Ovis aries: one gene and its partner. The protein of the gene in region 1 purifies or fractionates together with the protein of each later gene. This does not show direct contact. Links are inferred from orthologs where the notes say so. Each region holds a gene or a part of one and is shown on either strand. Other genes may lie near its edges.

Region 1 (3,500 bases):
TTCCTCCGCTCGCACATCCTGCAGCCGCCGCAAGAACAGCAGCTCCGTTTCTGGGCAGGAAGAGAGAGCGGACCATGGAGCCTGGTGGGCCGAACCCCAGCTCCCTCTTCTCAGGGACTGGTCTCCTGCCAGGGCCAGGGCTGGGAGAACAGGTTCAGGAACAGGACTTGTTTCGTCTCCATCAGGACCGAACCTCGAACGTGCAGCCGGGCACTCGTGGACGTGCCCCCGGCTCGGGCAGTCACGGTCCCTGCATCCTCAAGCCGGCAGCTTCGCACGGTCAACGTGCGGCTTGACCCATTCTGGGTCGTCTCTAGCTGGGGCCCTGGAGTGATAACGACCCCATTGCGCAGCCAAGTGATGTCGGCGTCTGGTGGGGAAACTTCACATCGGAACGTGGCATCATCCCCCTCGTGGACAGTGAGAGGCGTCAGCTCCGAGACCAGCTTCACCAGTGGGGGTTCTGGGGGCGGAGGGCAGGATCAGACAGTGAGGGGGGCTGGGTCTTTCCACCGTTGCCCTCCTCAGCCCCTCCTCATCCCCAGAAACAGGCCTTCATCCCCCAGTTATTAAACAGAATCTTCCCGAGGACCAGCTGTGTGTCAGTCATGAGCTGTTTTGAAGGACAAGATGTCAACTCCCTGCCTGTCACTCCTCACCACCTCATCTCCATGCTGGCTGGGCACCCACCTCTCTGACTCCCTAATAAAGATAGATCATTTAGGACAGACCCTGTCAATCTCATTTAACTGTCACAACAGCCCTATAGGACAAACGCTATCCTCCTCCTTGGGACCCGGGGCTCAGACAGTTTAAGCAACTTGCCAGTGTGTCACACAACTACTGGGAAGGAGATTCGAGACTGGAACCTGGAGGGTAGACTCCAGAGCCCTCTGCCCCTCCTTTTTGAGGATTCCTGGAAAGGGGAGCCCTGAGCCCTCATCCATGTGATAGCTGTGCATGCATTGGTGGGCAGAGAGGTGGGTGGGGGTGAATGGTGGGGGGGGGCATGAGGCCCTTGGTGGGGGGGGGCCGGGGCCCCAGGGGAGTGAGGACGACACTGTTACCTTCCACGCTGACGAGGAAGATGCGGCTGTCCTGGGGCGTGTCGCACAGGTACTCCCCAGCGTCCCTGCTCCGTGCCCCCCGCACCCGCAGCACCTGCCTTGCCCCGTCCTGTTCCAGCTGCACCCGCCCCTGGCTGGCCAGGCGCTCCCCGTCTTTGTACCAGCGCACAGGGCCCCCTGGCCCGGAGAGGCGCACCGCCAGCTCTAGGTCCCCGCCTGGGGTGCTGCGAACCCTCGTCTGGGCTGCCTCGGGGGCCACCACCCGCACGGGGGGCTCTGTGGGGTCAGGGCTGGGGGTCATTGGGAGGGAATGGGTCAAGGGCTGGGGAGGAGGGTGGTGGGAGGCCAGATGGGGAGAGGGACTGAGAGCCGTGGGGCAGGGGCTGGGGGCTGGGTGCACTAGAGAGGGGGAAGACTCAAGGGTTTAGGGGCGAGACTCTCAGGTTTCCTGCCCGGGGCTATACTCACCAGCCACTTGGACGGTGAAGCTGAGGCTGGGGGCCCCCGGTGCTGCCCCACACTGGCAGGTGTAGAGGCCCGCGTGAGCCAGGTCTGCAGCCCGGATGCAGAGGACGCGGCGGGGTCCTTCGGCTCGGAGCTCCAGGCCCTCGCCTGTCTGCACCGGCTTCCCATTATGGCTCCAGAAGACCAGGGCACCAGCCCTGGACAGTTCACAGCTCAGCACCACCGGCTCCCCGGGAGCCACGCAGAGCGGGCCAGGGGCTGCCTCTGGGGCAAGGAACTGGACAGGGGGCTCTGGACAGAGAGTGGGTGTGTCAGCTCAGTGATGCCCCCTGCTCCCGCCTCCCAGACCCGGGCTGGCCAGGATCACCCACCAGCCAGGCTGACGTTGAAGGTGACGGCTTCATCGCGAGTCTCACACACATACTCCCCGGCATCCTCGGGCTGGGCATGGGGCAGGGTCAGGGTGCGGGTGGGCCCCTCAGCACCCAGCTGCAGGGCTTCTGATGCTTCCACCTCCAGCCCATCCTTGTACCAGCGCACCTGGGACCCAGCCGGGGCCACCTCGCAACGCAGCTCCACGCGCCCCGGAGCCCTGAACTGCAGGTCCAGGGAGCGGGCTGCTGGGTGCACAATCCTCTCTGGAGGAGCTGGTGGGCGAACAGAGAGAGAAGTGGGTGGGCTCGGCTTCTACCTGACTGACCACTGGCTTCTCAGTCCTCTCCCTTTGCAGAGCAGCTCTTGGGAAATGGTACCACCTACAATCGTGGGCACTTACTGTGTGCCAGGTGTCATGCTGAGGACACTACAGTTCTTTTCTCAGCTACTCCTGACACTCCCTATTGCTGCCTTCACTTTATAGATGAGGACCTGAAGCCTCTTTATAGGGAACTGACTTGCCCAGGGTTGCACAGACGGAAAGAGCTAGACCCACACTCACAGATCTATCTAACCCCAATGCACAGCCCTCCCTACCCCTCCATTTCCTGTCCCTTTTCCCTGCTTTGCCTCTGAAGAACCGATCACCACCTGAAAAACCACCTGTTTCCCTTATTTGCTGTCTGTCTGCTCTCACAAGAAGGTAAAGACAGGTTTTCTCTCCTTCATTCATTACCGAATCCCTCAGCATCAGAACATGCTGAGCAGATCAGTGTTTGTTGAATACACAAATGAATGAGCACTCCCGATTGCTGGGCTCTCTTCACCAGGCCTCTGGCCACTGTCCCAACCTGGTTTGGGCAACCCAGGGCTCTCTCTGATGGCTGAGAATGAGGAGGCTGGGAGAGGAGGGAAGGCTGGACAGGGGGAAAGTTGTGTGTGGCACGTGGGGGCCCTGACGGTGCAGGAAGTGGGAGGGGTGGGTGTCTGTCCCTCAGCCTCCTGCCTCTCTTCCTCCCTGGGGGGGTCTCGGAGACTGCCCACCTGTGACGGTGACAGTGAAGAAGGCTGAGTCGTCTCCAGCGTCGCATACGAACTCGCCCCCGTCCTGGGGCTGGGCGGCGGGCAGCACCAGGCGACGGCGGGGCCCGTCGCTCTCCAGCACCAGGGCCTCGCTTTCCTCCACCTCCAGCCCATCCTTGTACCAGCGCACCGGGGCATCCTCCCGAGACAGCTCGCACATCAGCACCACACACTCCAAGCTCACGGCCACCAAGGTCACCTCGTCCCGGGGGTATAGGATGCGCACTGGGGGTTCTGCAGAGTAGGGACAACCACAGGCTGTCAGACTCACTGTCAGCCTCTCTGGAGCTGTCCGGCAGCATGAAATCCTGGTTCCCCAAATTGTTAAGAGTGATAAGGATAGTAATAGGTCCAAAATCTGTTCTCTGAAATCCCTGGGGCCACAGGTGTTACAGAATCCAGAAATGCTTCCAATTCTAGAAATGGTACATTTATCATATAGCATATACTCCTCCTCAGCCCCTACTGTGGAACCCCCCATAATCAATCACATTAACGTCTCTGCAGTGT
Region 2 (3,500 bases), on another chromosome or scaffold:
AAAAAGAGCTGCTTCCCCAAAGGAAAGCTGGAGGATTGGATCCTGGATAGGTGAAAGAAGGTTATGCCCTTTACTGCCCCTTGCCCCCTCACACTGAGCTCTCTTTTTCTGGCAGGCGCTGGATGTTTGGGCCATGGGTGTGACACTGTACTGCTTTGTGTTTGGCCAGGTAAGGTGGGGTGTCCTGTGTCCTGGCTGTTGTGGGTGGCTCCCTTGGACTAATAGTTACCCTTGCAGGGAGATAGAACTTACTCATTTAAAAGTTATTTCATTTTATTTCCACAGTTAGATCTGCATATGGAAAAGTATGCCTTCCCAAATATACATAGCTGTACATAACAGTCATATCTGTGAAGACAACCTGCTAAAACAGGGTTTTGGTAGAGGCTCTAGAAATTGTAAATACAGTTGATGAATTTAGGTCAAGGACAGCAAATGTGCACCTCTTTCCACTTCTAAACAGGAGATAGGCATCACTAATCAATAACTGCAATCTTTCTTTCTGAGCCTGGTACTGCTTTGATGTTCTTCTCAACAGTGTTCCTGGAAGCTGTTGTTGGAAGAATAGAATTGGAATGGAATTTAAAACATTTGGCATTATTGATTTAGGGAGTGCTGTTTGTCTTCATTTTGTTGCTCTTTTATTATTTTTATATTACTCGTATTTAGGGGCTTCTATTTTTAATTCTAAAGTTCAGACTGATTATGTGAGCAGTAAAGATGAGAATTATTCCTTCTCCTGAGCTTATGCTCCTGTTGAGAAAAGCTTAAGAAACTGATCCCGTGAAGAAGTAAAGTTTATAATCTCCTCCCCACAACCCAACGTTTGATTAGAAAATTTTCAATCCTGTAGTCAAGTTGTAAGAATTATACCTTCTTACATATGCTTCAGAGTGCAGTCATTAGCCAGAGCTCACTATCTGTGGCTTTCATCTTTTGGGCTAAAATGTACACATCAGGGAATCTACAGATGTTAAAAGTGTACTCTGATGAGTTGTCACATGGATGCACCTGTGCAACCCTGACATCTCAAGTTATTGTTTCTCATGGCATCATTTTCCTTGGACAGGAGTAGACAAGGTCACTTTCTGTGACCTTTTGCAGCCTTTTGAGCACCCCGCTTAAAGGTTTCTTTTTCCAAAACAATCCCTGAGCTCCTCCTGGGTCAGGCCCTTCCTCCTGTGAGAAGATCGCCTTGTCACCCAGGAGGTGGTGTGTGAACAGGCTTCAGGGTAGAGTCTAGGCTTAAATCCCAGTTTCATGCTTCCTAGGACATAGCACCTCTCGGAGCTTCTGTTTTCTCTCTCCTGTAAAATGAGAATAATATTTACTGTTTTTAAAAGTATTTATTTATTTACTCATTTTTGGCTGCGCGGGGTCTTCGTTGCTGTGCGCAGGTTTTCTCTAGTTGCGGTGAGTGGGAGCTTCTCTCCAGCTGTGTCACGTGGGCTCCGTAGTTGCAGTACGCCTTCTCTAGAGTGCAGGCTCAGTAGTTGGGACTCACAGGTTTAGTTCCCCTGTGGCATGTGGGATCTTCTTGGACCAGGTATGGAACCTGGGTCTGCTGCATTAGCAGGCAGATTCTTAACCACTGGACCACCACGGAAGTCCAGTATTTACTATTTTTTATGGCTTCTGAGAGGATCAGCAGAAATAATTCAAGCATTCATTAATTCAACAGATATTTATTGAGCCCCTACTTTGTGCCAGGAATGTTCTTGGGCACTGGGTGTCAGCAGTGAGCAAGACAGACAAAAATCCATGCCCTCTTGGAGCTGACATTCCCGTGCAGGAATTAAACAGTGAATAAATCCATATGGTTTTATGTTTTGGCCATACCATGTGGCATGTGGGATCTTAGTTCCCCAATCAGGGATTGAACCTTTGTCCCTAGCAGTGGGAACACAGAATCCTAACCACTGACCACCAGGGAAATCTCCCCAATGTATATGGAATAATGTCAGGAGGGCACATGCAATGGTGAGAAATCATATGGAGGTGGAGTGGGTGTCCATTTTAGACAGGAGCTCTGGAAGACCTCCCTGAGAGGTTGAGCTTTGATCAGACACCTAAATGATGGAAGAAAACAAGCCATGCACATACTGGTGTGAAGAACATTCCAGGCAGAAAGTGAAAGTGAAGTCGCTCAGTCGTGTCCGACTCTTTGCGACCCCATGTACTGTAGCCACCAGGCTCCTCAGTCTATGGGATTCTCCAGGCAATTGCCATTTCCTTTTCCAGGGGATCTTCCCCACCCAGGGATCGAGCCCAGGTCTCCTGCAATGCAGGCAGATGCTTTAACCTCTGAGCCACCAGGGAAGCCCATTCTAGGCAGAGGTTAACAGCCAAATGAGATGTTGGTCCTGAGAAACCTCAGTACAATGCCTGGCCCAGGCTGAGCCCTCACCAATCACAGCTACTGCTGCTTTGTCTTTTGTGTTGTTCTTTGTATTATTAATGTTCACAGGGCAGGTGGGTGAAGTGAGTGTTTGCTTTCGGTCTTTGCTTTATGGTCTTCCCTGATGACTCATGGTAAAGAATCTGCCTGCAATGGGAGAGCCCCAGGTGCAGTTCCTAGGTCAGGAAGATCCTCTGAAGAAGGGAATGGCTACCCACTCCAGTATTCTTGCCTGGAGAATTCCATGGACACAGGAGCCTGGCGGGTTATGGTCCATGGGGTCGCAAAGAGTCAGACACGACTGAGCGACTAACATTTTATGTAGGTAAATTAACGCACAGCTATAGAGGAAAGCCAGTGTAGTTAGGAAGGCTCTAACCCTTCTGGAAAGATACTCCTGGTCCTTTCAGATCTCCGGGGAATGGGAACTGCTTCCTCCCTGGGCTGGGCTGCCTGGCTGTTTCTTTCTCTGCTGTGACCCATGTGGAGTGCCGTCCACCCTTGAAGGACAGCTGTGCCAGCCCTTGATGGCTGCTCTGTCCCTGACCTCTCTTTGCAGTGCCCGTTCATGGACGAGCGGATCATGTGTTTACACAGTAAGATCAAGAGTCAGGCCCTGGAATTTCCAGATCAGTGAGTATCCTTCGTGTACCGCAAGTTGCTACCTTCTCCGAGCCCTTGGTGACGTCTCCCACCCTTGATGTATCTCCTCCCGCCAGGCCTGACATAGCCAAGGATTTGAAGGACCTGATCACGCGCATGTTGGACAAGAACCCCGAGTCGAGGATTGTGGTGCCAGAGATCAAGGTATCTGCTGCCCCTTGGGGTATGTGCCAGGGGCTCAGCCTATCTCCTCGGCTTGGGATTTTTGGCTCAACCCTGCCTCAGTCAGGCCCCACATTCCTCTGTTTACAGCACCACACCCTCTTCTGCACCACCGCCCTCCCATGCCCTGTGGCCTCTGGGATGCTGGAAGCTGGTGGGGGAGGATTTGGGACTTGTGTTAACTGTGATTATGGAAGTGGGATCTGCTACCAGCCAGGCAACTAGCACTCGCTCCACTTGGCGTGAACTGATGGCCTCCACCTCCCCAGACCAGACC

The links. The genes of interacting proteins can lie anywhere in the genome.
Region 2: the proteins of OBSL1 (region 1) and CAMKK2 purify together in Homo sapiens (affinity purification with mass spectrometry; 4 studies listed by BioGRID and IntAct, with this or other methods). This does not show direct contact. The link is inferred for Ovis aries from reciprocal best matches to the Homo sapiens genes OBSL1 and CAMKK2.

What each region holds. Positions count from the first base shown.
Region 1 is NC_056055.1:221,476,938-221,480,437, forward strand, and holds part of OBSL1 (obscurin-like protein 1), read right to left. Parts: intron 3,225-3,500; coding exon 2,952-3,224; intron 2,180-2,951; coding exon 1,904-2,179; intron 1,824-1,903; coding exon 1,536-1,823; intron 1,344-1,535; coding exon 1,068-1,343; intron 464-1,067; coding exon 194-463; intron 51-193; coding exon 1-50. UniProt on the Homo sapiens protein: Core component of the 3M complex, a complex required to regulate microtubule dynamics and genome integrity. It is unclear how the 3M complex regulates microtubules, it could act by controlling the level of a microtubule stabilizer.
Region 2 is NC_056070.1:53,942,889-53,946,388, forward strand, and holds part of CAMKK2 (calcium/calmodulin-dependent protein kinase kinase 2), read left to right. Parts: intron 1-115; coding exon 116-169; intron 170-2,957; coding exon 2,958-3,031; intron 3,032-3,117; coding exon 3,118-3,205; intron 3,206-3,500. UniProt on the Homo sapiens protein: Calcium/calmodulin-dependent protein kinase belonging to a proposed calcium-triggered signaling cascade involved in a number of cellular processes. Isoform 1, isoform 2 and isoform 3 phosphorylate CAMK1 and CAMK4. Isoform 3 phosphorylates CAMK1D.